Anolis sagrei: one gene and its partner. The protein of the gene in region 2 purifies or fractionates together with the protein of the main gene of each other region. This does not show direct contact. Links are inferred from orthologs where the notes say so. Each region holds a gene or a part of one and is shown on either strand. Other genes may lie near its edges. The genes, in order: GDI2 and RAB8A.

Region 1 (16,176 bases), on a different chromosome or scaffold from region 2:
ATTTGTCTTTAGAGCTGTACTTTATGAAGTATGGCTACTAGAAAGACTGAGTAAGGGGCACAGGTATGATTATAATGTGACAGGAAAGAGGGAGGTAGCAGAACGTAGAAGGGGCTGCTGCTGACAATCATGAATGAGACCTCAATCTCCAGTACTGTGGAGTAGGATCTTCCTGAATGACAGGAGATTAAGGACAGACAAAAGATTATCTCCTAGATAAAGAATAACATTAATAATAATGTTATTATTAATAATAAAGACCTCATTTTCCTAGTTTCCAACAGACCTCCCTCACTACCTCTGAGGATGCTTGCCACAGATGCAGGCAAAACATCAGGAGAGAATGCCTCTAGACCATGGCCATATAGCCCTAAAAAACCTACAACAACCCAGTGATTCCGACCATGAAAGCCTTCGACAATACAATAAAATATCCATATGGCCATATAGCCCTAAAAAACCTACAACAACCCAGTGATTCCGACCATGAAAGCCTTCGACAATACAATAAAATATCCATATGGCCATATAGCACGAAAAAATTTACAGCAACCTAATAATATTAATATTAATAATAATAATAATAATAAAGAATCAGATCAAGAAATAAAAAAAAAACTGGCAAAACATGTTAAATGTGTATTGCAATGGGAACAAAAAGCTAGAATAAATAAAAGCTTATGGAATAATAATAATAATAATACTTTTTGTCGTGTCAGGAGCGACTTGAGAAACTGCAAGTCACTTCTGGTGTGAGAGAATTGGCCATCTGCAAGGACGTTGCCCAGGGGACGCCCAGATGATTTTTGATGTTTTTATCATCTTTGTGGGAGGCTTCTCTCATGTCCCCGCATGAAGAGCTGGAGCTGTCAGAGCGAGCTCATCTGCCTCTCCCCAGATTTGAACCTGCGATCTGTCGGTCTTCAGTCCTGCCGACACAGGGGTTTAACCTACTGCGCCACCAGGGCTCCAGATAATAGTAGTAGTAGTAGTAGTAATAATAATAATAATAATAATAAATTTCATTTGTATCCTGCTCTATCTTCCTGAGGGGTCTCGTGGCGTTTTCAGCAAAGGTAAAGCATCGCAATTGCCAACACAAAACATGCAAAATAATCATCAGAAAACATACACATAATACTATATAAACCCATGGAGTTCAGTCCTGCAAGGAGAGAGAGCCACCAATTTGGTTTGAGGTACATCATGATGCTAAAGGAGAGTCTTCACACCAGGAAGAGGACTACTATAGATCAGGAGGGTTCTACTACTGCCTTCACATCCTGCTTGTGGGGTGCTCATGATCATTAGACTGACTGTTATGGAGGAAAGGGTGCTTGATTTCATGGACCTTTGCCAATTAGCTTCCGAGCACAATTTAAAGTGCTGGTGCTGACATATAAATCCCTAAACGACTCTGGCCCAGTTTACCTGTCCGAACGGATTCTCCCCTATGAACCATCAAGGTTGTTAAGATCTTCAGGAAGGGCCCTGCTCTCAGTCCCACCACCCTTGCAATCGTGTCTGGTGGGAACGAGGGACAGGGCCTTCTCTGTGGTGGCCCCTCAGCTCTGGAACTCTCTCCCACTGGAGATTAGAACTGCCCCTTCTCTCCTGTCTTTTAGAAAGCTGGTGAAAACTTGGCTCTGGAATTTAACATTTGATGAGGGAGTCAATAACCCTTGAACACACGGACGGATGGTGATGAATTGTGATTTCACTCTGACGACTTGGCCTTATTATTATTATTATTATTATTATTAATTTTATTTACACCCCGCTAACATCTCCCGAAGGACTCGATACGGCTTACAAAGGTCAAGGCCGCCAACAAAACAACAACGTAACAACACAGCAATAAAACTCATAAAGCAAACGATAAACATCAAGCAAAAATAAAACACTAAAAACAATGACACCATGACGCAATTAAAACCTAAGGCCTTATGTAATTATAGTATTGTATTTTAATGTATTTTATGTATTATGTATTAGTGTATTATGTGATGTGATGTTTTAAACTATTGTTATGAATCTTTTGTTGTGAAACGGCCTGAGTCCCTCTTCGGAGGTCAAGAAGACCGGTATATAAAAGTTCTAAATAAATAAATAAATATTCTATGACGGCCTTTCAGTAAAAGCTGCCCACTGATGTTTGATGAGCAGGTTATGCCAAGGACAAACAGCACAAAACATAAGAGCCCAGAAAGGTGGGTGGTCATCAAAACAGAAAGAGTAATTGGGATTGAATGGGGGAGTAGAAGACAGAGCAAGAACAGCAAAATATTCTGTAGAGGCGGAGAGACGCTGACTGTAATCACACTTTAAATCCGATGGCTGCCTCCCGTGGAATGCTGGAATTTGCAGTTTGGGGAGGTGCCTTTAAAATTATCAGCCAGAGAAGTCCTAGGTTAAAAACTACAAACTCCAGGATTCTGCAGGAGGTTGCCATAGGATTTAAAGTGGGATAGCAGTGCTTTACAGTGTCATGTGATGATCTGGTACAGTAGTTCACAATCTTCCTAATGCCGTGACCCCTTAATACAGCTCCTCAAGTGATGACCCCCAACCATTATTTTCACTGCTACTTCACAACTGTAATTTTGCTCTTGTTATGAATCGTAATGTAAATATCTGATATGCAGGATGGATTTTCATTTACTGGGCCAAATTTAGCACAAATACTCAATACGCCCAAATTTGAATACTGATGGGGTTGCCGGGGGGCGGGGATTGATTTTGTTATTGGGGAGTTGTAGTTGCTGGGATTTATAGTTAACCTACAATCATAGAGAATTCTGAACTCCACCAAAAATGGAAGTGAACCAAACCTGGCACGCAGAACTCCCATGACCAAAACAAAACATACTGTAAGAGTTTGGTGGGCACTGACTTTGCATTTTGGAGTTAGTAGTAATTTTATTGATTAGCCCTTAGGCCATATCACAATAAGAAACAGAACAACAAGGCGTGACAAGACCTGATCACACTCCACGTAGTAAGTTAAAATAAGACACTTATAATAATACAGTAAATACATATAATAAGCATTCTGGAGTTGTAGTTCACCTACATCCAGAGAGCACTGTGGACTCAAACAATAATGGATCTGGACCAAATTTGGTACAAATACTCAATATGCCCAAATGTTAACACTGGTCGGGTTTGGGGGAAATAGACTTTGACATTTGGGAGTTGCAGATGCTGTGATTTATAGTTCACCTACAATCAAATAGCATACTGAACTCCACCAATGATAGAATTGGGTCAAACTTCCCACACAGAGCCCCCATAACCAACTGAAAATACTGTGTTTTCTGATAGTCTTTGGTGACCCCTCTGATACCCCCTCGTGACCCCTCCAGGGGTCCTGACCCCTAGGTTGAGAAACACTGATCTAGTATGTCAAGTAACACTTGATCAGTACAACAAACAAATACCCAAGGAGCAGGTACAAAACTTCAAAATGGGGAGTGGGAGAAGCAATCCATTACAATGTGAAGCCACAGCAGATGCTCTTTAAGGAGAATCCCTTGCAGGGAAGTCCCATCTGTTAAGCCACAAAAAGAAAGAAAAAGAGAATGGTTGGTGTAAAACCTATTGTTAGCCCCAACCAGACCAAACCCATGATTTCAATTGGATTTACCTGTAAGTTGACTGTCATTCAAAAACTGTTTTCCCAAGTTTGTCCCTGTTGGGACTAATCAAGAGAAATCTCAAGAATTGTGACTTGAAAGAAAAAAGAGCAGAAAACTGAAAAAAGAAGAAAAAAAACCAAAATATTTAAAACCATGTGACAGAAAGAAAAAGAGCAGAAAACTGAAAAAAGAAGAAATAAACCCCAAAATATTTTAAACCATGTGACAGAAACTAAAATGAATGAGATCTGAGAGAAATTTTAAGGGTTTCTTTCCCCAAGGGATGTGACAGAAGAGGGCAAAAATACTAAAATGAGAGAAAATTCATAATTTTTTTTATTTTTTTGATAGGGATATTAAAGAAGGAGATGCATGAGAAGAATATGGAACTGAAATAAATGAGAGAAAATTCAAAAAAGGGGGTGTGACAATGGGGAAGGCACTAAAATATAGGAGAAAATAGTTTTGAGAGGAACAGGAGATGCATGGGAATGGAGCAGGGGAGTAAACAGAAAAATGTCAAACATTTCTATTTTTTGAAACGGGCATGAAAAAAGAAGTATATGAAAACAGTGCAGGGAATAAAAATAAATGAGACTTCAAAAATATTTTTGGAGAGAGATATGACAGAAGACATGTAAGAGTGGGGAAGGGACACTATACATATATTTGAGAGGGACATGACAGAAGGAGGCACGTGAGAAAGGAGAGGGGAAGTAAAACCAATGAAAAAAATTAAAATGAAATCCTGAAATCAAGATGACAAAGGGAGATATGTGTGAAGGGGAAAAAACCTAGAATGAATGAGGAAAATTCCACTTTTAATGATAATAGAGAACAAAGATAAATGAGAAATGTTACATATAGAGGGTGGGGTGTGATAAAAAAATAAAAAATAAGATTGATTAAATGAGAGGAACATACCAAGGAGATATGTAAGAAAGGATAAGGAACTAAAATGATTTTTAAAAATATAGATAGGAGACATGATAGCAGGAGATATGCAAGAATGGAGAGAACTCAAATAAATGAGAAAAGGTGACACATACATATCCATATATATATATATATATATATATATATATATATATATCCATATATATATATATATGATATTATATGTGTATATATTAACATTTATATATATTTGAGAGGAATGTGGCAGGAGATAAGTAAGAGATAAAGAAGCACAAAACTAAAGGAAATTTTTTTTGTTAGTGCCTGGGGCAAGATTTCCACACCTTATTTTATATATATTACTTTATATGTGCTTATATTAATGTATATATGTGTGAATATATGTAACAGTAGATACGAGATAAAGGGGCAGAAACTAAAGGAAAAAAATTATTTCAGGACCTTATTTGTATATATATTGTGTGTGTGTGTATATATATATATATTTGAGAGGGATGTGAGCTAGAATAGAACATAAATGAAAAAATAAATTTCAAGATTTTCGTACCTTATTTTTAAATGTATCATTTGATATGTGTATATATATATATATATATATATATATTGATTTGTGTGTGTCTGTATGTATATATATATACACATATATATTGAAAGGGACTTCACAGAAGGAGATATGAGATAAAGGAGTAGAAACTAAAGGGAAAAAATAAATTTCAAGATTTTCATAACTTATTTTGATATATTACAACACATAGAATTCTATGATTCTATGTGTGTATATATGCATATTGAGAGGGACGTGAGAGAAGGAGATCTATATAAAAAAAATGTAATGTTCGTTTGTGGGATTAACAGAACTCAAAAACCACTGGACGAATTGACATCAAATTTGGACACAAGACACCTAACAACCCAATGTATATCCTTCAATCAAAAAATGGATTTTGTCATTTGGGAGTTGTAGTTGCTGGGATTTATAGTTCACCTACAATCAAAGAGCATTCTGAACCCCACCAAGGATGGAATTGAACCAAACTTGGCACACAATTCTCCCACGACCAACAGAAAATACTGGAAGGGTTTGGTGGGCAGTGTCCTTTGGTTTTGGAGTTGTAGTTCATCTACATCCAGAGATCACTGTGGACTCAAACAAAGATGGATCTCAACCAAACTCTACACGAATACTCAATATGCCCAAATGTGAATACTGGTGGAGTTTGGGGAATATAGAATCTTGACATTTGGGAGTTGTAGTTGCTGGGATTTATAGTTCACCTACTATCACAGAACATTCCGAACCCCACCAACGATAGAATTTGGGCAAACCTTCCACACAGAACCCTCATGTGGGCCACAGCAACGTGTGGCAGGGGACAGCTAGAAGCACAATATTAATATTATATATTACATATTAAAATAACATTATACTGTAATATTATCAATAATATTACCTTTAATATAAAATATATAATTATAAGATCATGTTATTAGTAGTAGTACTACATTGTATTACATTATAATATTATCAATATTATATGTATATTATATATACTATATAATTTGGCATATAATTTGTATACGGGCAGTGTATCCCTATATTATTGTTAGTAGTATATCATAACCATAGCACACTATTAATATTATATATTACATAGCACTATATTTATTATTTATTTATTTATGGCATTTATATTCCGCCCTTCTCACACCGAAGGGGACTCAGAGCGGCTTACAATATATATTTTCATACAATATATTATATTATTAACATAGTACAATATCAGTATATATTACTATATTGCACTATACCATTATATTGTAATATTATTAGTAATATTACATGTAATGTAAATATATAATTATAATTATAATATTGAATTATTATTACTAGTATTCATCATCATCATCATCATCACTTTATAGAGAGGGGAGGCCAGGGGACAGCACCATCTTGTCTCCTGCATTTGCCATCCGTTGGGGACCCCTCCCCACAGCACCAACTGCCGCTCTGGGCCAGAGCAAAGAAAGAGGGGCCAGGGGACAGTTCCACCTTGTCTCCTGTGCTATTCTAATAATATGTTATAATATAATATATACATATAATATTTATAATATTGTACTGTAATGCAATATAATACTAGTCCAACGTGTGGCAGCCATGATGCTAACAGGAGCGGGACGTAGGGAGCATACAACCCCTCTACTGTACCAGCTCCACTGGCTGCCAATCTGCTACCGGGCTCAATTCAAGGTGCTGGCACTGGCCTATAAAGCCCTAAACGGTTCCGGCCCAAAATACCTTACTGACCGCCTCTCGGCCTATGAGCCCACGAGGACTTTGAGATCTTCCGGGGAGGCCCTGCTCTCGATCCCGCCTGCCTCACAGGCATGGCTGGTGGGGACGAGAGATAGGGCCTTCTCGGTGGTGGCTCCTCGGCTGTGGAACACCCTTCCCGTGGACATCAGGCTAGCCCCCTCCTTGCTGATATTCCGCAGGAAGTTAACGACCTGGCTATTTAAGAAGGCATTTGACCAATAAGTGCAATGACTGGCAATTGACCATAGGAATGGAACACTGGAAAAGAGATCGGATTGTGACTTGACGATGAGACGACTCGGAATGTAGTAGTGATTTTGTATTGATGTTGTTGTTTGATAAGATGTTTTTATGATTAGGATGAATTGTACACTGTTTTGCACTATGTCTTGTTTTCTTGCACTTGTTTTCTTCATGTTGTACACCGCAATGAGTCGCCCTGAAGGGCTGAGAATTGCGGTATATAAGCGCAGTAAATAAATAATAAATAAATAAATAGTAATTGTTTTTAAATGCACAATGATTTTGTATTCTGTATATCTAAACTTGTAAACCGCTCTGAGTCGCCTAAGGGCTGAGAAGAGCGGTATACAAATAAAGTAAATAAATAAATAAATAAATAGTCGCTCTCCACCAAGGTGCTCCGAGCGACTTACAATTTAAAACAGTTTATACACAATATAAAATATTCAATATAAAAACATTCAACAGTGACTATGGCAAAATTTGATCCGGTTACTTAAGTGAACAACCAAACAGCGTATAACTATATTATTGTTAGTATTGTATTGTATTACATTATAATATTATAAATATTATATGTATATACAACAAACTATATTATATTATTAGGAAAGACAAGATGACATATATTTATAATTTATATTTATATTTATAATTTGCCATATAATTTGTATACTGGCAGTGTATCCCTAAATTACTGTTAGTAGTATATCATTACCATAGCACAATATTAATATTAGTAATATTACATTTAATATAAAATATATAATTACAATATATTATTAGTAGTACTATATTGTATTAAATTATATCAATATTATATTATATATACTATCATATAATTTGGCATATAATCTGTATATTGGCAGTGTATCCCTATATTATTGCTAATAGTAGTAAGAGTATTCCCTGCAGGGAAAGAGAAATGTCTACGGAGGCCCTGAAGGGACAAGAGAGGTGGAGTAGGGGGGGGCGCGGCCTAGTCCTCTCTGCGGAGCCTGCCTCGATTAGCTCCCCTTTCCCGCCCGCTCGCTGGCTCACCGTGAGGCCGGTGCCTAGCACGATCACGTCGTACTCCTCGTTCATGGCGGCGGCGAAGAGGACCTGCTGGCGGCGGCGCCGAGGAGGAGGAGGAGGTGGAGGAGGGCCGGCGAGGGCTTCGCTTCCTTCGCGGGAGGAGGATGAGGAGGAGCGCAAAATGGAGGCGCTTCTGCCAACGCCGCTGTGAGGAGACCGCGCCAGGGGGGCGGGGTTTTGTCCAGGGGGCGTGGCGTAGGCGTGGACTCCCAGGATTGGGGCGGAGCTTCCTGGCGCCTTCACCCTCTCCAGCTGGGGGGCGGGGCTTCGTTGGGTGGGCGGGGCTTGCCGGGACCCTCCTGCCGCCCCAGGCCTCTCCATTGGGCCGAAAAAAATGGGAGGAGCTCGAGGTGGTGTCTGAGCCGCTCCGGCGCCGTCATTGGTCTCCCTGGCGACGTCAATCAACTTTTTGTTTCCTCCCCTCCCTTCTAAGAGACGCTGTCGCTAAGGGGCGGGGCGAAAGGGGGAAGGCCACGCCCCTCGGCGCCGCTGCCACGCTGGTTGGCTCCTGCTGACGTCAGAGCCTGGGAGTTTTGGCGCAGGCGCATAAGCGAGAAGGGACCTGGGGAAAGGTTGCCTTGCAAAGTTTTTGGTGCATAATGAGGTTCTGAGCTCCAAATAAATACATACATCCTGAACTTCTTATATTTTATTTATTTTTAAATGCATTTGACCTTAAAAAAATTGTAATTCTGCAATTGTTATTTTTGCAATTTTAAACATAATTCTGGAATTTTTTCTTATATTTTATTTATTTTTTAAATGCATTTAACCTTAACATATTTGTAATTCTGCAATGATTATTTTTGCAATTTTAAACATAATTCTGGAATTTTTTCTTATATTGTATTTATTTTCTAAATGCATTTAATCTTAATATATTTGTAATTCTGCAATTATTATTTTTGCAATTTTAAAACAAAATTCTGGATTTTTTCCCATTATTTTATTTATTTTTTTAAGTGCATTTAACAATAAAATATTTGCAATTCTGCCATGATTATTTTTGCAATTTTTAACATTAATTCTGGAATTTTTTCTTATATATTATTTATTTTTTAAATGCATTTAACCTTAACATAGTTGTAATTCTGCAATGATTATTTTTGCAATTTTAAAACATAATTCTGGAATTTTTTCCTATATTATTTTTATTTTTAAATGCATTTAATCTTAATATATTTGTAATTCTGCAATTATTATTTTTGCAATTTTAAAACAAAATTCTGGATTTTTTCCCATTATTTTATTTATTTTTAAATGCATTTAACAATAAAATATTTGCAATTCTGCCATGATTATTTTTGCAATTTTTAACATTAATTCTGGATTTTTTTCTTATATATTATTTATTTTTTAAATGCATTTAACCTTAACATAGTTGTAATTCTGCCATGATTATTTTTGCAATTTTAAAACATAATTCTAGAAATTTTTCTTATATATTATTTATTTTTAAAATGCATTTAACCTTAACATAGTTGTAATTCTGCAATGATTATTTTTGCAATTTTAAAACATTATTCTGGAATTTTAAAAATATCTTATAATATCTTGTAATTCTGGATTTATTTTGCAATTTTAACCTAACTCTTGGATTTTAAATATCTTGAAATCTCTTATAATCTTGGATATATATATATATATTTGCAATTTTACAAGGGGCGTTCATTAAAGATTTCTCTCTAACCCACTTCTGTTTATCACAGATTGCTGAAAATGCACATGTGTAATGATCAAAGTCTTTATAGGTTACGTGCCAATTTAATGGTTTTGATGAGACAGGTGCTGAAGTGGTGTGAGGTTTGAGAATGGACCCAGTGGAACACAGAGCAGTCCTCAAGTTCCTTTCCTTGAAAGGCCGCACACCAAGGGAGACGTTCAATGAGGTGAAAAGGATTTATTGTGATGATTCCCCGTCATATAATGAAGTCAAGAACTGGCATCTTCAATTCCAATGTAGTCGGTGGAAACAGCTCCAATACCAGGACGACCGCAACTCCCATCCGATCCCAAGGCTTTCCTCTAAACCTACCCTACAACAACATCTATTATAGAATTCCAGTATGCTGATGACAACGTCGTCTGTGTGCATTCAGAAGACCTACAAGCTGCTCTAAACACCTTTGCAGAAGCATACGAGCAGCTTGGCGTGTCATTAAACATCAAGAAAACCAAAGTCCTCTTCCAGCAGTCACCAGCCAATCCCTCTCCAATGCCAGAGATACAGCTTAATGGTGTAACATTAGAAAATGTTACACCATTTTTAAATGCTTGTGTGTTACTGTTATTGTATATTTTTTGTTTATGTGATTTATATTAATTGTTTTGTATTGATTGTTTTTGTTATTGCCTTTGTTTACTGATGTACTGTGCGCTTGGCCTCATGTAAGCCGCATTGAGTCCTTTGGGGAGATAGTAGCGGGGTATAAATAAAGTTTTATTATTATTATTATTATTATTAAATGTTGACCATTTCCGTTCCCTTGGCAGCCACCTCTCCACAAAAGCCAACATTGACATTGAAATTCAACACCACCTGAGCTCTGCGAGTGCAGCATTTGTCCCAATGAAGCAGAGAGTGTTTGAGGACTGGGACATCTATAAGGATACGAAGGTGCTTGTTTATAAAGCCATTGTCCTCCCAACCCTGCTATACACCTGCGAGACGTGGACAGTCTACAGACATCAACATTGACACTGAAATGCAACACCGCCTGAGCTCTGCGAGTGCAGCATTTTTCCGAATGGAGCAAAGAGTGTTTGAGGACCGGGACATCCGTAGGGATACCAAGGTGCTTGTTTATAAAGCTATTTTCCTCCCAACCCTGCTATAAGCTTCTGAGACGTGGACTGTCTACATACGTCACATGCAACTCCTGGAACGATTCCATCAGTGTTGCCTCCGGAAAATCCTGCAAATCTCTTGGGAAGACAGGTGGATAAATGTCAACATGCCGGAAGAAGCAAAGACCAACAGCATTGAAGCGATGGTCCTCTGCCATCAACTCTGCTGGACCAATCACATTGTCCGGATGCCCAAACACCATCTCCCAAAACAGTTGCTCTATTCCGAACTCAAGAATGGAAAACGGAATGTTGGAGGGCAGGAAAAGAGATGGAAAGACAGGCTCAAAGCCAACCTTAAAAACTGTGGCATAAACACTGAGAAGTGGGAAGCCCTGGCCCTTGAGCGCTCCAGCTGGAGGTCAGCTGTGACCAGCAATGCTGCAGAATTTGAAGAGGCCTGAATGGAGGGTGAAAGAGAGAAACGTGCCAGGAGGAAGGTGCGTCAAGCCAACCCCGACTGGGACTGCCTTCCACCTGAAACCGATGTCCTCACTGCGAGAGAAGATGCAGGTCAAGAATAGGGCTCCACAGTCACCTACGAATCCACAAGGAAACCCATCATGGAAGACCACCACCTACGGACCCACCGCCAGAACACCAACCTTGGAGGACCATCATCCTTTGAGTACGAGTAAGTAAATAAGTACCCTACAATGTCAAAGAAAACCAAATAAGCCGCCTCCATCTCAGAAGAGATCCTGCTGGACACGGATCTCCCGCCTTTCAATGAGCTGCGCCCTGAAAGTAAACCTTTCACTCACGGTGTGAAATGAAGCAGGGATGCTGTTTGCGATTCACAACCGGAGCAGGAGAAATCATTATTACAAGCAAATCACATTTTCTGCTGCCTAATGGAAGGCTTAAGGAAGCAGAAAGCTTTCTCCATTCCGGTTGACTGAGAGGGAAAGTGCGGGCGAGACAGGCCTGGAGGACGGGTCCCTCTGTGACAGATGCAAACCATGGAGCGGACGTAAAGCCTTCCTAAGTACTTTGGCTGCTGAGTCTGCGGAAAGGGTGATCCCTTGCAAACACAAACACACTTCGTAGTTGCATCGCATTTTTCATACGGATGCTTGCCTGGGCCTGCCGAATCAGTCTTTAGCGACTCAAAGCGGCTGGATGAATTAACTGGATTGTGTTCTGCCAAGATTTAGGAGGAAGAGAGGAGAATAAAATCGCAAGCATTGTTCGGCTTCGTAGTTTAACTTTGGAAAGATTTAATTAAAATATTCATTCAACAGTGTTAGGAATTGTGGGAATTAAAGTTTACCCATGCCTACTATATGCTGGAGCCCTGGTGGTGCAGCAGGTAAAACCGCTGAGCTGCTGAACTTGCTGACTGAAAGGTCAGTGGTTCGAATCCGGGGAGCGGGTGAGCTCCCGCTATTAGCCCCAGCTTCTGCCAACCTAGTAGTTTGAAAACATGCAAATGTGTGTATGTTGTAGTTCAACAGAGTAGATCAATAGGTACCGTTCCGGTGGGAAAGTTATGGGACTCCATGCAATCATGCTGGCCACATGACCTTGGAGGTGTCTATGGATAACTCCGGCTCTTCAGCTTAGAAATGGAGATGAGCACCCCCCCCCCCCCGAGTCGGACATGTCTGGACTTAATGACAGGGGACTACCTTTAACTTTACCTAAGGTAAATGGTCTAAATACCAAAAGGCACCAGATCCTAAGTGATCTTGGAATCTAAGCAGGGTCAAACCTGGTTGGTATTTGGATGGGAGACCACAGTGAATACCAGGTGCTGCAAGCTACATTTCAGATGAAGGAAGTAACCATATGGTAAAATCAATATAGTTCAAGCCATTTGAAATGTCTTTTCTTTTTGGGGCTCTTTGGGTATGTTGTACACCAGAGGAGGAACACCTCTGACCTTAAACATCACACCTTGGTAGAATATATGTATGCAAAGCAGTAAAAAATAGCAAAACAGTTGGAGGCCAAAATCCAAGATAGTCCATATGCTTCAAAGGGAAACAAGTCCCATTAGTATATAGAAATCCGCAAAGCAAGACACTTGAAACCATGGAACAAAACAGGAGGAAAATCCCATAGGCAACTTGAGTTTGGCAAAAACTTGATACATGAAACACAGAGCACTTGAAAGCAAGACCGTGATAAAAAATAACAACGTTGACTCGACTGAGGCATGAATCATTATAAATCTTTTCCAGAACCCAAAACTGAAAGGAAAACATTCTTCTTGACTCTCCCACCAGATAATGGTTTGTTATTATTTATTTATTTATTTATTTACAGTATTTATATTCCGCCCTTCTCACCCCGCAGGGGACTCAGGGCGGATCACAATGCACATAAACATGGCAAACATTCAATGCCATAGACACACAACATATAGAGACAGAGACACAGAGGCTATTTAACATTCCAGCTTGATGAGGGCATGCTTTTTGAATTCTGGCCACTGGGGGAGCTGTTGCTTCACCATCCACTTGTGACACCAATGGAGTACTTCCTCATTCTTTTGCACGCAGGACAATGTTCGAGAGGAAACCTTTCCCTTTACTATATATTCTTCCTGGCAGTTTTGGCATTCTGAGCAACCCCGGGGGGGGGGGGGGGGGTGTCTCCAGAATGTTGGCTTCTGAACTCACTAAACTTATCCAACTCTCCTCGGGCTATAGAGCCATGTTCTAGAGGCATTTCTCCTGACGTTTCGCCTGCATCTATGGCAAGCTTCCTCAGAGGTTGTGAGGTCTGTTGGAAGTAGGAAAAATGGGTTTATATATCTGTGGAATGGTTGGGGTGGGGCAAGGAGCTCTTCCCTGCTGCAGTTAGGTGTGAATGTTTGGCTGATCACCTTCATTAGCATTTGAAGGCCTGCCTGAGCCTGGGAAACTCTGTTGCTGGGAGGTGTTAATCTGTGCCTGGTTTTTTCCTCTCTGTTGTTTAGCTGTTATAATTTTAGTGTTTTTTTTTTAAAAAAAACCAGGCACAGATTAACACCTCCCAGCAACAGATTTTCCCAGGCTCAGGCAGGCCTTCAAATGCTAATGAAGGTGATCAGCCAAACATTCACACCTAACTGCAGCAGGGAAGAGCTCCTTGCCCCACCCCAGCCATTCCACAGATATATAAACCCATTTTTCCTACTTCCAACAGACCTCACAACCTCTGAGGAAGCTTGCCATAGATGCAGGCGAAACGTCAGGAGAAATACCTCTAGAACATGGCTCTATAGCCCGAGGAAACCCACAAGAACCTAGTTATCCAACTCTGCTTTATCAAACAAGCAAATGTCTTTATTTTCCCACCTCTCTTTTTTGGCACAAGACCCAAGGTGGACACCATCACCAACTCAAAAAAGTCTTCCAACAGGACTGAATGTTTGCTCCAGAATGGTTTTTCAATCCTCAAGGCAGGGACTGGATAGGACTTGCAGGGAAGCAGACCCCTAGGCAAGTATAAACATTCCCCATAAATTGGCAGCAAAAATGGGAGATGCTGGAAAGAAAGGTCCCTGTTCTCTTTGCCATCAATGCAGGTTTTCATGCGCTCACGCTTGTCTTCTCGAAAAGCTGGAGGAGGCTCGGCTTCCTGGCCACCTGCCAGGCGTGTGTTCCAGAGAAGTCTGGCGAATCTTGCAGTCCCGCCTCGAGGAGAACGTGCGCACACGAGGTATGCTGCCCAGCGCACGCCATATGCAAGGCTGTGGGAGGAAGCAGGCAGAAGAACAACAACAACACACTAAGGGGCCTTTTCACGCTGCACAATGACAGCATTATGAGCCCAGCTTAATCCTATGGAATCCTCAGATGTGTAGTTGAATGAGTTGCTAGAGCTCACTGAGAACTGTGAGGGCTCTGCATCAATAGGAGCCTAGTGTCTAGATCTAGGGAAGTCATGCTACCCCTCTATTCCTCCTTGGTTAGACCACACCTGGAATATTGTGTCCAATTCTGGGCACCACAATTCAAGAGAGATATTGACAAGCTGGAATGTGTCCAGAGGAGGGCGACTCAAATGATCAAGGGTCTGGAGAACAAGCCCTATGAGGAGCGGCTTAAGGAGCTGGGCATATTTAGCCTGAAGAAGAGAAGGCTGAGAGGAGACATGATAGCCATGTATAAATATGTGAGAGGAAGCCACAGGGAGGAGGAGGGAGCAAGCTTGTTTTCTGCTTTCTTGGAGACTAGGACACGGAACAATGGCCTCAAACTACAAGAAAGGAGATTCCATCTGAACATGAGGAAGAACTTCCTGACTGTGAGAGCCGTTCAGCAGTGGAACTCTCTGCCCCAGAGTGTGGTGGAGGCTCCTTCTTTGGAAGCTTTTAAACAGAGGCTGGATGGCCATCTGTCAGGGGTGATTTGAATGCAATATTCCTGCTTCTTGGCAGAATGGGGTTGGACTGGATGGCCCAGGAGGTCTCTTCCAACTCTGATTCTATAATTCTATAATTCCTGGGTAAACTACAAATCCGAGGAGGATAGAACCAGGACATTTAAAGAGGCATCTTCTTTCTATAACTATGAAAGGGTCCTAAAGCTGAAGTAGACTTGAAGAAAGGGGTTGATATCAGCTCTACTTATTTGTTTTGATATTACTGTTGTTGCTGTTAGGTTGCTGTGAGTTTTTCGGGCTGTATGGTCATATTCCAGTAGAATTATTTCCTGATGTTTTGCCTGCATCTATGGCAAGCATCATCAGAGGTTTGAGCAGAGGTTTGAAGTGAGGCAAGTGGAGTGTGTGTGTGCATATCTATCTATATAAATAAAAATATAATGTTTGTTTCTGGGATTAACATAACTCAAAAACCACTGGACAAATTGCCATCACATTTGGCCACAAGACACTTACTAACCCAAGGAGTGACCATCACTCAAAAAATTGATTTTGTCATTTGGGAGTTGTAGTTGTTGGGATTTATAGCTCACCAACAATCAAAGAACATTCTGAACTTGACCAACAATAGAATTGATCCAAACTTGGCACACAGGACTCCCATGACCAACGGAAAACACTAGAAGGGTTTGATGGGCATTGAGCTTGAGTTTGGGAGTTGTAGTTCACCTACATCCAGAGAGCACTGCGGACTCAAACAACGATGGATCTGGACCAAACTTGGCACAGATACTCCATATGCCCAAATATGAATATAAA
Region 2 (16,911 bases):
TTTACATTTCCAACCATTTTTTCCCAGGGAGAGCACCATAAGTTCCTCTGATCGACAGCGGCCTCACTCCCAACGACCCCCAACCCACCTGCACCAAAGGCCCTCGTATTTCCCTCTCTGTGGCTCCCATTGGGTTCCTCCCTCCCATTTGCCTGCCTCACCGCAACACTTACTCTTGTAAAATCTTGCTGTCGGTGGTCTGGGGATAGCCGAAATCCATGAGCTCATCGAGGAGTTCGTAAATGATCACAAAATTGTCCCGAATGCTTTCTTCTTCCAGCTCTTTGAAATATTCAGAAAACACCTGGGAGGGGGAGAGAAAGTTAGAAAAGAGGAGCACACATGACAGAAAGAAATGGGGTTGGACTGGATGGCCCCTGGGGTTGCTCCTATTATTATTATTATTACTACTACTACTACTACTATTACTACTACAAATGCTTGTGTGGCCATCTGTTGGGGTGCTTTGATTGTATTTTTCCTTTATGGCTGAAGCAGATTGACCTGGATGGTCAATAAAATCATTTTAACAATAAAATAATTTTAAAACATTATACAACATCATCAGTAAATTTAACAATAAATTAACGTGCCAGTAAAACCAAAAACCAAGCCGGGAGAATCCATGTCGCAAACCCCAAAATTCCTTTTCCTATTGCCACTGGACTCTAATCAAATGCCTACTACTACTACTACTACTCCAATGGCTGGGTGGCCATCTGTTGGGGGTGCTTTGATTTGTGCTGTTCCTTCATGAAGGCAGAATAAAGGGGGTGAGACTGGATGGCCCATGGGGTCTTCCACTAAAATACTGTTATGTTTATGTTGGTCAAAAAGTTTGCCTGTGCCTGGTATAGATACTGCATATTATATATAATATATAATATACTATATAAGCATTTCTTGAGGCTCCACAAGAAATATTTTGCTTCAAAACGGGCTCTGTGGCTGAAAAGGGTTTTAGAACCCCTGCCATAGAGGAAGGTGGCAGAGTCCCAAAAGGAAGCTTCCCCCAAAGCTTACCTGTCCAGGTCAGGTCACCTAATAGCCTGCCGCACTCACCTGAACCACTTTGTACAGAAAGGAGAACACCAATGAGACGCAGGCATTCTTTTTCGAGGTGGCCACCACTGGAGAAAAGGTTCAGGAGCCTGTCCAACACTTGGGATATATTCAAGTTTACCTAGAATTTACACTTTACATTCATGGTATTAAAAACAAACAATTAAAATCCTTAAAGCTGATTGGACAAGGACTTGGAACTTCCCTGGTTTGAATAGTTAAAATTTGAAAATGTTTTATGGATTTAACTTGTTTATAATACTAGTGATGTTTAATTCTGTTTTCATATTTGTATATTTTAAATTGTATTGTAATGCCTTTAATGTTTACTTATGCCCCACCTTTTCTCTCTACAAAGAGATTCAAAGCAGCACAAAGATAGATACTATCATCATCATTTATTTTCACCCCTCTTTTCTCTCCACAAGGAGACTCAAAGCTGATCAAAGATAGATATTATTATTATTATTGCTGCTATTATTATTATTATTATTATTATTATTATTATGTTTGTTTATACCTCACTTTCCTCTCCACAGGGAGACTCAAAGCTGATCTATTAATATTATTATTATTATTGTTTGTTTATACCTCACTTTTCTCTCCACAAGGAGACTCAAAGCGGCTTTTTTTCATGTCAGGAGTGACTTGAGAAACTGCAAGTTGCTTCTGGTGTGAGAGTTGGCTGTCTGCAAGGACGTTGCCCAGGGAATGCCAGGATGTTTGATATTTTACCTTCCTTGTGGGAGGCTTCTCTTATGTCCCCACATGGGGAGCTGGAGTTGACAGAGGGAACTCAACCCGCTCTCCCCAGATTCGAACCACTGACCTATTGGTCAGCAATCCTGCATCAGTGGGGGCTCCTCTCAAAGCAGCTCAAAGATAGATATTATTATCATCATTATGCTTTTTTACACCCCACTTTTTTCCACAAGGAGACTCAAAGCAGATCAGATAGATATTATTATTCAGTTAAAATCCATAAAACATATTCAAAACTAGACGCCACGGCACTTGATCTCAAAAAACCTTCTTCTTTAAAAGCCAGCCCGAATAAAAAAGGTCTTAGCCGTAAGCCACACAATCAAAATATCTCAAGACGGAGGCACACAATGCTAAAAAGCCACATCAGAAGTGTTGTTTTAATTTTCAAATAAAATTATTTTAATTTAAAACTTAACAAGCAAAAGGTCTGGCTCATTTTTGGCCTCATTATTAGGGAAGCCTGCACAGACACATCTTGCTGCAAAATTCCACAAAACAGGAGCCCCTTCCAAGCAAGACCCAATTCCTAGCCCCCTTCTACACTGCCATATAATCCACATTATCAAAGCTGATCATTCACATTATCTCCGTCTAGCTGGATTATACAGACAAACTGAAATTTGGCCCAGAGACCAAAGACCAAACCCTCCAAGGAAAGGTCGAAGGAGCTGGTGATGGCGGGCACACGCCTTTGGCAAAGGATACAATACAGGTTGTTGTGCTTGATCCACATGAAGCGGACGCCTCCATGTGCCAAGATGGGCGAGAGCGTCCCTTCCTCCTCCTTCTCCATCAGGATGGGCATGAAATGCTCAACTTCTGACATGTCCACATCCCCGCGGTAATTCCTACAGATGAGAACCTGGAAAGCAAGGTGACATATTGAATAGGTATTCAATAGCATAATCAGGGTAAGGCTCACCTGGAGGTTCCTCTTGGCACCAAAAAGGAGATTATTAGCATTATTAACTAATATATAAATATTCTGCCTTACTCTCCTCTGTTGGGACTGAAGGCGGCCCACAATCTAATATCAATAAAAAACAAAGCTACTACAACCTTTTAAAAAATTAAATATTTATTTATTTATTTCCCAGCCTTTCTCACCCGAGGGAACTCAAGGCAGCTTACAGCTCCGGCAAGAATTCAGTGCCAGTAAAACCCCACAATAAACAATAGAAACTTACCCCACAGTCAAAACAATTAACAGTTAATCAATAAAACAGTATACAAATTAAAAACATATAAGGTGGATAGTTCCATTCATCCGATAACCTTGCTCAAATCCTTAAATCAGACCGTGTCGAAACCTGTAATAACTTATTCTTCGAAAGCTTGTGTGCAAAGCCAAGAATTTAGCTTTTTCTGAAAGTCAGAAGGAATGGAGGCTGCCTGATGTTGCTGGGAAGGGAGCTCCACAGCTGAGGAACCACCACTGAGAAGGCCCTGTCTCTCGTCTCTACCAATTACAACAGCAAAACAACAGAGAGGAAACAACTAGGGACAGCTAATCACCTCTCAACAAAAGTTTGCTCTAGGCACTGCCAGGCCTTCAAATGTTAATCAAGGTGGTCAGTTGAAACATTCCCACCTAGCTCCAGCAGACAAGAGTCCTTTGTCCCACCCTGGTCTTTCCACAGATATATAAACCCCTTCTTCCTAGTTCCAACAGACCTCACTACCTCTGAGGATGCTTGCCATAGATGCAGGCGAAACGTCAGGAGAGAATGCCTCTAGACCATGGCCATATAGCCCAAAAAAACCTACAGCAATCCAGTGATTCAGGCCATGAAAGCCTTCGACAATACATATTTATTATTATTATTATTATTATTATTATTATATTTAATATAAACCAATAGATCAGGGGTCCTCAAACTGTTGGAGGGCCGGATTATAATTTGAAAGAAAGCATGAATGAATTACTATGCACACTGCACATATCTTATTTGTAGTGCACACATCCCATTTTAACGTTGTGAGATTATAACAGCAAAACATTAAAACAAAGCATTACAACAGCAAAACAACAGAGGGGAAACAAACAGGCACATAAAATCACTCTCAACAAAAGATTCCCCCCAGGCACTTCCAAGCCATTGAATGCTAATCAAGGTGATCAGCTGAAACATTCACACCTAGCCCCAGCAGACAAAAGTCCTTTCTCTCACCCTGGTCATTCCACAGATATATAAACCCATTTTTCCTACTTCCAATAAACCTCACTACCTCTGAGGATGCTTGCCATAGATCAGTGTTTCTCAACCTGGGGGTCGGGACCCCTAAGGGGGTCATGAAGGGGTGTCAAAGGGGTCGCCAAAGACCATCAGAAAACATAGTATTTTCTGTTGGTCATTGGCATTCTGTGTGGGAAGTTTGACCCAATTCTATGGTTGGTTGAGTACAGAATTTATTTTATTTATTTATTTATTTAGTACACTTGTATACCGCTAATATCTCAGCCTGTGCGGCGACTCATTGCGGTTTACAACATATTTAAAAATACAATATTCACTTTAAAAATATAAAATAAAATATAAAAATACATACATATACATACATAGTATTGGGCCACCAATACAGACCGGAACATCTCATAATTAAAGTCGTAATCCAATTCGTTATCCTTGATTGCTAGTCCATGATCAAAACATCATCACATCGGAATTAGTTGAAAACTTGCTCGAACATCCAAGTTTTCAGTTTTTTCCGAAATGCCATTAGCGAGGTGGCTGATCTTATTTCAGTAGGGAGGGCATTCCAAAGCCGGGGGGCCACCACAGAAAAGGCCCTATCTCTCGTTCCCGCAAGCCGCACTTGTGAAGCAGGCGGGATGGAGAGAAGGGCTTCTCCTGAAGATCTTAGGGTCCTGGTGGGCTGATAGGCCGAGATACGTTCGGATAGGTATGTAGGGCCAGAACCGTTTAGGGCTTTAAAGGTCAAAGCCAGCACTTTGAATTGGGCTCGGTAGCTAATCGGTAGCCAGTGGAGCTCTTTGATTGTAGGTGAACTGTAAATCCCAACAACTACAACTCCCAAATGTGAAGGTCAATTTCCCCAGACTCCACCGGTGTTCACATTTGGGCATATTGAGTATTCATGCCAAGTTTGGTCCAGATCCATCATTGCATGAATCCACAGCACTCTTCTGGATGTAGGTGAACTGCAACTCCCAAACTCAAGGTCAATGCCCACCAAACCCTTCCAGGGTTTTCTGTTGGTCATGGGAGTTCTGTGTGCCAGGTTCAGTTTAAACCCATCGCTGGTGGAGTTCAGAATGCTCTTTGATTACAGGTGAACTATAAATCCCAGCAACTACAACTCCCAAATTACAAAATCAATCCTCCCCAACCCCACTAGCATTCACATTTGGGCATATTGGGTATTTGTGCTCAATTTACTCCAGTTAATGAAAATCCATCCTCATATCGGATATTTACATTATGATTTATGACAGTAGTAAAATGACAAGTATCAAGTAGCAACGAAAACAATATTATGGTTTGCGGTCACCACAACATAAGGAACTGCATTAAGGGGTCACGGCATTAGCAAGGTTGAGAACCACTGCCACAGATGCAGGTGAAACGTCAGGAGAAAAATTGCCTCCAGAACATGGTCATATAGCCCCCAAACGCCTACAACAACGCAGTTGTGAGATGTGTTCCACACTGGGAATGCAGTTGAGACCCCGTGGCCACTTGCTGGGCCCATCCTCGACCGGTTCATCCCACTGGATGCAGGGGCTGTCGATAGGCTCATAGCTGCAGCTAGACCGACCACTTGCTCCCTCGATCCGTGTCCCTCTTGGTTGGTGAAATCCTGCTTGGAGGGATCACGTGACCCTCTGTTGAAGATTATAAACAGCTCCCTTGAGCAAGGAGTCTTTCCAGAGGGTTTAAAAGAGGCGGTGGTCTCTCCTTTGCTGAAGAAACCAGATTTAGATCCCTCGGTTCCCTCCAGTTACCGCCCAGTTTCAAATCTCTTGTTCCTGGGCAAGGTGATTGAGAGGGCAGCAGCGGAGCAGTTGCAGCAATTCCTTGACGACACAGCCGGACTAGAACCCTTCCAGTCGGCTTCCGTGCGGGGCATGGGACAGAGACTGTGCTGGTCTCCATCATGGATCACCTTCGATGCCAGCTTGACCAGGGCGGGTCAGCACTGCTTGTGTTATTGGATCTCACAGCAGCATTTGACACAGTCGACCACAATCTCTTGACCCACCGCCTTGATGTTGCTGGAGTCAGGGGGGCAGCTTTAAACTGGCTGTCCTCCTTTCTTCACAACCGTGGACAGCGAGTGGAGAGGGGAGGCCTGGTCTCTGAGAGGTCCCCTCTATCTTGTGGGGTTCCTCAGGGGGCCATTCTCTCCCCTCTGTTGTTTAACATCTATATGCGACCACTTGCTCAGCTGGTTCGAGGTTTTGGGCTTGAGTGTTATCAGTATGCCGATGACACTCAGCTGGTGCTGAAGATGGAAGGCCGACCGGACTCTGTACCCGATTGTTTCCATCAGTGCCTCGAGGCTGTTACTGGATGGCTGCGTGCCAGCAGGTTGAGGGTGAATCCAGCAAAGACGGAGATCCTATGGCTGGGTGGACCGGGCAGTGGGGACATCCATCTGCCCACCTTGGATGGCGAGGCGTTACGCCCGTCATCATTGGTAAAGAGTCTGGGAGTCCTTTTGGACCCTCTGCTGACAATGGAGGCCCAGGTCTCCGCCGTGAGCAGAACCGCCTTCTTTCACCTGCGGCAGGCTAGACGGCTGGCCCCCTACCTGTCCAGGGACGACCTAGCTACGGTGATCCAGGCCACGGTCATCTCAAGACTGGACTACTGTAACACCCTCTACATTGGCCTCCCTCTGTTGGTGATTCAGAAGCTCAAGTTGGTACAAAATGCAGCTGCTCGGCTTCTTGCGGGAATTCTGATGAGATGCCACATAACTCCAATCTTACTGCAGCTGCATTGGTTACCAATTGAGCACCGGATCACTTTCAAAGTGATGGTACTCACCTCTAAGGCCTTGCATAGTCTGGGGCCAATGTACCTGAGGGACCGCCTCACCCCCTACCAACCCCAGAGATCCCTCCGTTCTGAGGACCAAGATCTATTGGAAGCCCCCAGTGTCAAGACCTTGCGTCTAACAGCAACCAGATGCAGAGCCTTTACAGCAGTTACCCCATCACTCTGGAATACTCTGCCACCTGAAGTTCGTGCCCTGCGGGACTTACCAGCTTTCCGCAGAGCATGTAAGACATACCTGTTTCAACAGGCTTTTAATGTTTGATACTGTTGTTTTTAAATTGTTTTAAATTGCTTTTAAACTTTGTTAGATTTTAGCTATTCTTGTAAGCCGCTCCGAGCCCCAGGGGATTGGCGGCATATAAGTTTAAATAATAAATAAAATAAAATAAATAATCAGCAGCTGTGTAGCAAAGCGCAAGGGCAGATGCCTTCACTGTATCTGGTTGTGATTCCCAGGTTGTGCCAGTCAGCTTTCGTAGAGCGAATTAAGGCAACGGAAGGGGGAAAGGCCCCAACTAAAACCCGTTTCTCCTCATCTGCCATAACAGTACAGCCAGCCTAGAAGGACAGGTTACAAGGCAGGTCCAAAGCCAAGTACACCTAATAACAATCACAAAAGAAGAAGAAGAATGGTGAAGAGAGGAAACCTCACCTTTCCCTTCAGGTCCAGCACGTAGACGGCGCTGGCGGACATCTTGGATCCGCGGCAGGCGCCGGAGCTCCTTTTCCGCTTCCGGCCAGACAAGCAACGGGCGGACCACACCGTGACGTCAGCCAGCGCACGCACCAATCGCAAGTTTCCCCACTCTAGAGCGGACAAGCCTCATTCCTTATTGACGTCATCCAGCGCACGGACCAATTGCAAGTTTCTCTAGCCAATGGGCGGGACGTTAGCGCCGACGCAGCCAATCACAAGTTTCCCCACTCTTCCTGCTCGAGGAGGAGTGCGCCGGCGAACGGCCAAGCCAATGGGAGTCCGGCGCGTTCTGACGGACAGCGACGTGGGCCTATCGCGAGCCGCGGCGGCTCCTCGCAGGCCTAGGAAGACATGGCGAAGACTTACGACTACCTCTTCAAGCTGCTGCTGATCGGCGACTCCGGCGTGGGCAAGACGTGCGCGCTCTTCCGCTTCAGCGAGGACGCCTTCAACGCCACGTTCATTTCCACCATCGGTGCGTCGTTGCCAGGCAACCGGTGGGATTGAGGGAGGGGAGGGAGGGGTTGTTATGGCGACGCCCCGGACCCACCTCCCGGTCGCCATGGCAACGAACGCCCACCTTCTAGCTGGAGAGCAGTAGGGCTCCTCTTCCGGTTGAGGGGAGAATGGGCTCCAAGTAGGCCTCATGCTGGACCATCTCCCAGGGCATCCACTCTGCGCTTGGTTAGGGCAAGCTGGATGCAACAGGCTTCTTACTGGTTTAGTGTATTCTGAAAGTGATGCATTGGAAGCATTCTGTCTTTGATGTAGGTTTTTTTGTCAGTTGCTTGAGGGTTTCCCTGGATAACTGAGAATATATATATATATATATATATATATATATGCAGGGAGGGGGGAAGTATTTAGTCAGGTACCAATTGTACAAGTTCTCCCACTTAAAAAGATGAGAGAGGCCTGTATTTTTTTTCGTCCTGTCAGGAGCAACCTGAGAAACTGCAAGTCGCTTCTGGTGTGAGAGAATTGGCCGGCTGCAAAGGCGTTGCTCAGGGGATGCCTGGATGATTTTTTGATGTTTTATTTATTTACTTTATTTGTATACCACACTCTCTCAGCCCGTAGGCGACTCAGTGCGGTTTACAACCAGGTCAATATACAAAGTGCACAACACTAGCATTTAAAAACAGTAACTAAGGCAACTACATCAAGGCCGAACAGGGTATAGGGTTACAGCCTGTGTTAGACGGGGTTACACTCCCCCTGAAGACGCAGGTTCGCAGCTTGGGTGTGATCCTGGACTCTTCGCTAAGCTTGGAACCCCAAGTTTCGGCGGTGTCCAGGGGAGCATTTGCACAACTCAAACTTGTGCGCCAGTTGCGCCCGTACCTTGGGAAGTCTGACTTGGCCACGGTAGTCCACGCTCTGGTTACATCCCGGATTGATTACTGCAACGCGCTCTACGTGGGGTTGCCCTTGAAGACTGCCTGGAAGCTTCAGATGGTCCAGCGCTCGGCGGCCAGGTTGCTAACGGGAGCGGCACTCAGGGAGCATACCACTCCTCTGCTGAACCAGCTCCACTGGCTGCCAATCCGCTACCGGGCACAATTCAAGGTGCTGGCTTTAGCCTATAAAGCCCTAAACGGTTCTGGCCCTGCTTACCTCTCCGAACGCATCTCCACCTATGAACCGACCAGAACATTAAGATCGTCTGGGGAGGCCCTGCTCTCGATCCCGCCTGCGTCACAGGTGCGCTTGGCGGGGACGAGAGACAGGGCCTTCTCAGTGGTGGCCCCTACCGGCAGACATCAGACAGGCACCTTCGCTGCTGACGTTTCGGAGAATGGTTAAGACCTGGCTTTATGAACAAGCGTTTGGTTAAGCAGTGCAACCAATCATAGGAAGACGGTAAATGGAACATAGGAATGGCACAAGGATTATGAGAACGGATCTGATTTCAACTGAGGCGTTATGTTATGTCTGTTTTGTTGATCTGTCTTGTTGATTGTTAACTGTTGTGGATTGATGCTGTTGATCCTGTTTGTTCCATTGTTATGTTTTAATTGCACTGACACTGTTTGATAATTGTACCATGTAAACCGCATTGAGTCGCCTGTTAAGGGCTGAAAAATGCGGTATAGAAATAAAGCAAATAAATAAATAAATAATATAACAGCACATCAATACATCAATATAACATCAATACATCCATAATAACTAACTCATCACGTCTCATCAGTAAAGTCATAATCCGATTTCCTCGTCCATTATTCCAAGTTCCAAGATCAATCAGTTAATTGCACTGCTTAATTAAACGCCTGTTCAAAGAGCCAGGTCTTCACTCTTCTTCTGAACGTCAGCAGGGAGGGGGCCGACCTAATGTCTGCGGGAAGGGCGTTCCACAGCCGAGGGGCCACCACTGAGAAGGCCCTGTCTCTCGTCCCCGCCAGCCGTGCCTGTGAGGCTGGCGGGATCGAGAGCAGGGCCTCCCCGGACGATCTTAATGTCCTAACTGGTTCATAGGGGGTGATGCGTTCGGACAGATAGGTCGGGCCAGAACCGTTTAGGGCTTTAAAGGCTAAAGCCAGCACTTTGAATTGTGCCCGGAATTGTGTGGAGTTGACGCAACAGAGGAGTGGTGTGCTCCCTGAGTGCCACTCCTGTTAACAACCTGGCTGTTTTATCATCCTTGTGGGAGGCTTCTCTCATGTCCCCGCATGAATAGCTGGAGCTAACAGAGGGAGCTCATCCGTGCTCTCCCCGGATTCGAACCTGCGACCTGTTGGCCTTCAGTCCTGCCGGCACAGGGGTATAACCCACTGCACCACCGGGGGCCTGTAATTGACATCATAGGTAGACCTATGAGATACAACATGAGAAAACACATCCAGAAAATCACATTGTCTGATTTTTAATGAATTTATTTGCAAATTATGGTGGAAAATAAGTATTTGGTCACCTACAAACAATGGAGCCCCCGATGGCGCAGTGGGTTATTATTATTATTATTATTATTATTATTATTATTATTATGCAGAGACCGGATGGTCTTTAGCGGTCTTTTTCAACTATTACTATTACTATTATTATTATTATTATTGTTTAGATGCTGGATGACACGTGGGTCTCTTCCATTATTGTTGTTGTTATTATTATTATTATTATTATTATTATTATTATTATTATTATTATGTAGAGGCTGGATGGCCTTTGGGGGTCTCTTCCAACTATTACTATTATTATTATTCAGATGCTGGAAGACACGGGGGTCTCTTCCATTATTATTATTATTGTTATTATAGGAGCCCCCGGTGGCGCAGTGGGTTAAACCCCTGTGCCGGCAGGACTGAAGACCGACAGGTCGCAAGTTCGAATCCGGGGAGAGGCAGATGAGCTCCCTCTATCAGCTCCAGCTCCTCATGCGGGGACATGAGAGAAGCCTCCCACAAGGATGAAAAAAAATCAAATCATCCAGGCGTCCCCTGGGCAATGTCCTTGCAGATGGCCAATTCTCTCACACCAGAAGCGACTTGCAGTTTCTCAGGTTGCTCCTGACACGACAAAAACAAAACCTACAAACATCAAGATTTCTGGGTCTCATAGACAGGCTCCTCTGCCCTCCTGTAGTAATGGCACCTATTTGAACTTGTTATCAGTCTAAAAGACACCTGTCCACAACCTGAAGCAGTCACACTCCAGACTCCACTCTGGTGAAGGCCAAAGAGCTGTCGAAGGACACCAGAAACAAAATTGTCGCCCTGCACCAGACTGGGAAGACTGAAACTGCAATAGGCAAGCGGCTTGATGTGAAGACATCAACCGTAGGAAATGGAAGAGATACAAGACTGCTGATAATCTCCCTCAATCTGGGGCTCCACACAAGATCTCACCCTGTGAGATCCCCCAGATGGTAACCCCGCTTCTCTTTTGCAGGCATTGACTTCAAGATCAGGACAATTGACCTCGATGGGAAAAAGATCAAACTCCAGATCTGGTACACATCCGATTTCATAGGATTCTAAGGTTGGGTGGGGACCCCCAAAGGCCACCCAGTCCAACCTTTTCTTTCCACCCGGCAGGGAAAGCACAACCCAACCCCTCCTGGCAGCTGGCCACCCAGCCTCTGATTCAAAGCCTATAGCGAAGGAGACTCACACAGGCTCCCAGGCAGAACAGGCGACTGTCCAACTTCCTGCAGCCTAGGATCACATTGGCCTTTTTTGCTGCTTCGGCACACTCTTGGCTCATGTTCATTTTTTACTATTGTCAAGCATTTCCTTTATTACTTTCCTCTGTCTGGATACTTGACTCCTATTTGTCTATCTATCTGTCTGTCTGTCTATCTCCCCAACCATCCAGCGATACATGTCCCTCTATAAACCTTATCACACTAGAGGTTGTGCGATACCGGCTAAACAATGTAATTTCTCCAGTGGTGTAGGGCGCAGGCACCCCGTGATAATGCGGCATGTCTCATTAAGAGCCACATCCACTGTTTTAGTGTGGTGAGATGTGTTCCACACTGGGCATGCGTACTCAGCAGCAGAGTAGCATAGTGCAAGAGCAGATGTCTTCACTGTGTTTGGTTGTGATCCCCAGGTTGTGCCAGTCAGCTTTCGTATGATATTGTTTCTAGCACCTACTTTTTGCTTGATATTCAGGCAGTGCTTCTTGTAGGTCAGAGCATGGTCCAGAGTGACTCCCAGGTATCTGGGTGTGCTGCAATGCTCCAGTGGGATTCCTTCCCAGGTGATCCTCAGAGCTCGGGATGCTTGTCTGTTTTTAAGGTGAAAAGCACATGTCTGTGTTTTAGATGGATTAGGGATCAGCTGGTTTTCCCTGTAGTATGCGGTAAGGGCATCTAGAGCTTCAGAGAGCTTCTGTTCTACCATCTCAAAGCTCCCTGCTTGAGCGATGATAGCACAATCATCTGCATAGATGAAACTCTCTGTCCCTTCTGGCAGTGGCTGGTCATTTGTGTAGATGTTGAACATGGATGGAGCAAGCACACTTCCCTGAGGCAGGCCGTTCTTCTGTTTCTGGCGCCATCTTCTTCTCTGGCCCTGAAACTCAACAAAAAAGGTCTTGTTTTGTCGCAGGTTTCCTATGAGGTGGGTGAGGTGGTAATTCTTTGTGATATTATACATTTTTCTCAGGAGGAGGCGGTGGTTTATAGTATCATAGGCCGCTGACAGGTCTATGAAGACAGCTCCTGTGATCTGCTGCCTTTCAAAGCCATCTTCTATGTGCTGAGTCAGGTTCAGCACTTGCGATGTGCAGCTTTTGCCTTTCCTGAAGCCAGCTTGCTGTGGGATCAGACATTAGTCTGATTCGTCAAGTGATTTTTGAGTTATGTTAATCTCACAAATAACATTACATTTTCATTTATATAGATGCATATCTTCACCTGAGTCTTTCTCTATCTATCTATCTATCTCCCCATCATTCATCCATCCACCAATATATTTCTCTCTTTCTATCTCTCAAATTCTTCGCCTGTATCTATCTCCCCATCCATTCATTCATCAATGCATTTATCACTATCTGTCTCTTCACCTGTGTCTTTATCTGTCTATCTATCTATCTCCCCATCCATCCATTTGTTTCTCTACACCTGTGTTTCTATCTATCCATCTCCTCAATCCAATACATTTCTCTCTTTCTATCTCCAATTCTTCGCCTGTGTCTTTATCTATCTACCTCCCCATCCATCCACCAATACATTTCTCTTCTCCCTCTCTCTGTCTCTTCACCTGTATCTCTATCTATCTATCTATCTCCCCACCCATCTATCCCTCAATGCACCAACACATTGGCATTACGGGGCTGTACAAGACCAATCAGAATAGGGAAGCATGGGTGTTCTATTTATGTAATCCTAAATACATAATAATTATTTTATTTATTTATCTAAAACACTTATATTCTGCCCTTTTCACCCCAAAGGGGACTCAGGGTGGTGCACAACATATATATGGCAAACATTCAATGCTGGGACAAGAATTCATATGAATATGCATAAACATTTATCAAAATATTAAAATGCACTGTTTAAAACTGTCTTGGTCATCTGCGTCAAATCTAAATTGGCCTGGGGAAGTTTCCTATCGCTGCCTTATGGCCCTGTCCCGAAAGCTTGGTCCCACAGCCAAGTTTTTACCCTCTTTTTGAAAGGCAGGAGGGAGGGGGCCAATCTGATCTCACCAGAAAGGGAATTCCATAGGCGGGGGGCAATCACCGAGAAAGCCCTGTCTCTCGTCCCCACCAATTGCGCCTGTGACAATGGCGGGATGGAGAGCAGGGCCTCCCCGGAGAATCTTAATCTCCACGATGGTTCATAGGGGGAGATGGATTTGGACTTTATAGGCCAAAGCCAGCACTTTGAATTGTGCCCGGTAGCAAACTGGCAGCCAGTGGAGCTGGCGTAACATGGGAGTTGTGTGCTCCCTGTGTGCCGCCCCAGTTATTAACCTGGCTGCCTCTCGTTGGACTATTTGAAGCTTCTGAGCAGTCTTCAAATGCAACCCCACGTAGAGTGCATTGCAGTAGTCTTATCCTGGATGCGTGTTGGGCATGGCATTGGGTTCCGTTGCATGGCGTACAATGGCAATAACACCACCACTCTCTTCTCTTCTCTTCCATGCTGTTCTGCCCTTGCAGGGACACGGCTGGGCAGGAGCGCTTCCGGACCATCACCACGGCGTATTACCGAGGAGCCATGGTGGGTGCAGTGCTTCCTATGGGATCCCCTTCTGCTCCGCGTTGACTTGTTTTTCTCCCCATATTTCCCACGTCCCCCACATTCCCCTCCTGCAATGGCAACTTTCTAAAAGTCAGCTTCAGAATATTGTAACAGAAGCAATCTACAAAATAGTTGGAGGTGCAATAAGGAAACTGGGACTTATATATACATTTATGGGTGGGAATGTGAAAAAAGATACATAATAAAAATCCATCATTGTTTGGGTTCATAGTGCACTCTGAATGTAGGTGAACTACAACTCCTATACATTTATTTACTTATTTATCTTCTCTCTCTCTCTCTCTCTCTCTCTCTCTCTATATATATATATATAAATACTCTGTGCATAATGAGTACCTTAAAAACAAAAGAACCAATGAACGAAATCACACCAAATTTGGCAACAAAATGTCTCACAACACAAGGAGTGACTATCACTCAAAAAATTATGCTTTTGTCATTTGGGAGTTGTAGTTGCTGGGATTTATAGTTCACCTACAATCAAAGAGCATTCTGAACTCCATCAATGATGGAATTGAACCAAACTTGGCACACAGAACTCCCATGACCAACAGGAAATACTGGAAGTGTTTGGTGGACATTGACCTTGAGTTTGGGAGTTGTAGTTCACCTACATCCAGAGAACACTGTGGATTCGAACAATGATGGATCTGGACCAAACTCTACAAGAATACTCAATGTGCCCAAATGTGAACACTGGTGGAGTTTGGGGAAAATAGAATTTTGATATTTGGGAGTTGGAGTTGCTGAGATTTATAGTTCACCTACAGTCAAAGAGCATTCCGGACCCCACCAACGATAGAATTGGGCCAAACCTCCCACACAGAACCCTCATGTGGGCCACAGCAATGCGTGGCAGGGGACAGCTAGTTTACTATATTTCTATACCGCCATTCTCAGCCCGAGGGCGACTCAAGGCAGTTTACAAAACGGCACAATTGGATGCCCACAATAACATAAAAACAGTTAAAACATTTAACATAAATAAAATTCAGTAAATAGTAAAACCGATAAAGACATAGATCCTCCGCATCTCATTACCAAAATCATTACCCAATCGCATTGTCCAGTCGTTCCGAGCTCAGGGTTTGTCTGCTACACTGCATTTGAGAAAGCCTGCTCAAAAAGCCGGGTTTTAACATTTTTGTGAAATGTTAAGAGGGTGGGGGCCAATCCAATGTTCCTAGGGAGGGCGTTCCACAGCTGAGGGGCCACCACTGAGAAGGCCCTGTCTCTCGTTCCCGCCAACTGAATCTATGAAGAAGATAAATCCCTCCAAAGACCTCCAGTATTTTTTGTTGGTCATGGGGCTTCTGTGTGCCAAGTGAGTTCCAGGTCCATCGTTGGTGGAGTTCAGAGTGCAGTTCTTAGATTGCAGGTGAACTATTTATCCCTGGATGTACAACTCCTATAAATCATGGTGAATTCTCCCCAAGCCTCTCTAGTATGTTCAGTTGCTGATCAATCCCTCTTCTGTGTGCCATAGAAAATAATAGGAAAGGGTTAAGGGACAGAGAGTGGGCGGGGTCATGCAAATTCCACACCAGTAGAGAATCAGAAACACTGGGATGTCTGTGGTGGAAGAAACACATAAAATCTAGGATGGAATTGTTCCCGTATGAAAGCCTTCACTTGGGTGGCGGGTAGTGTGGTGTTTGTGGAGGACATTGGCAGGGCTCTTGGACATGTTCATGGTGCTCACTATAACCTGCAATGTCATTGGAGGGAGTGAATAATGTCTTCTGAGTAGTGGAAGCTATAGCGGTGTGTGGAGGTAGGAGCTTGCTTGTATAAGTGGTCACCCCAGCCACACACACACTGTTGCAACTCAGGGTAGTTTTCACCTTGCTCCAGACACCACCACACCAAGGCCGTAGATTTTTGTAGTTTATTGAGAAAAGCGACATCAAAACAAAGAAATAGAAATGCAATCGTTCCATAGGCCAAACAGAGACTTAAAGGTAAATGCAAAGTTCCCAAGATCCAAAGGCAAAAACATGAAGCATAATCCCTTAGCAATGGTCAAACAAAAGTCCATGGTAAACAGTTGAAAACAAGACCCAAATCCCAGACTCAGGAAGCCAGAAGAGTGCTGCGAAAAGCCAAGGAAAATCCCTAGAAGTTAACATGGGAAGAGCAATGTTGGACTGACAACAACTGCCTGCCAGCTACAAGACTAAAAACCCTTTGCGAACATGAAAGCATTGCGTTGACTTTTGGCAACTTTGGCTTCTCGCTTGCTGGCCAAGCGAGTGCTTCTCCGAAGCCTTAATTGCAAACGATCTTGTCTGCTCATTAATTCATTATCTTCAAGGCTATACAACCCTTTATCTGGGTTCAGCTGGGACGGATCCTCCACCTGGCCGTGTGGGATTTCACTCTCGCTATCAGTCTCTCTAACTGCAGGAACATTCCTTTCCCCAAGGAACTGACTTGTTGTTTCTCCTTCAGCAGCCACCCTATCAGCCCCGTCTGAAACATGTACAGGAATCTGGAAACCATCAGCCTCCACGTCATCCTGCAGGAAATCAGGCTCAGAAGGCCCAAACAGCTCAGCTTCAGACTCAGAGTCAAACTGAGCCACAACACACACATACATATTTTCACTTTTATATGTGTATAGATGAATGAATTTGCATTAT

What was found.
Region 1: the proteins of RAB8A (region 2) and GDI2 purify together in Homo sapiens (co-immunoprecipitation; 5 studies listed by BioGRID and IntAct, with this or other methods). This does not show direct contact. The link is inferred for Anolis sagrei from reciprocal best matches to the Homo sapiens genes RAB8A and GDI2.

Annotation. Positions count from the first base shown.
Region 1 is NC_090025.1:193,948,325-193,964,500, reverse strand, and holds the start of GDI2 (rab GDP dissociation inhibitor beta), read right to left. Parts: upstream 8,515-16,176; coding exon 8,158-8,514; intron 1-8,157. Other genes in the region: ANKRD16 (ankyrin repeat domain-containing protein 16), read right to left, coding at 14,562-14,722. UniProt on the Homo sapiens protein: GDP-dissociation inhibitor preventing the GDP to GTP exchange of most Rab proteins. By keeping these small GTPases in their inactive GDP-bound form regulates intracellular membrane trafficking.
Region 2 is NC_090034.1:59,403,205-59,420,115, forward strand, and holds the start of RAB8A (ras-related protein Rab-8A), read left to right. Parts: upstream 1-7,861; 5' UTR 7,862-7,902; coding exon 7,903-8,026; intron 8,027-11,439; coding exon 11,440-11,500; intron 11,501-14,166; coding exon 14,167-14,227; intron 14,228-16,911. Other genes in the region: AP1M1 (AP-1 complex subunit mu-1), read right to left, coding at 174-304, 1,063-1,130, 2,533-2,689, 7,507-7,548. UniProt on the Homo sapiens protein: The small GTPases Rab are key regulators of intracellular membrane trafficking, from the formation of transport vesicles to their fusion with membranes.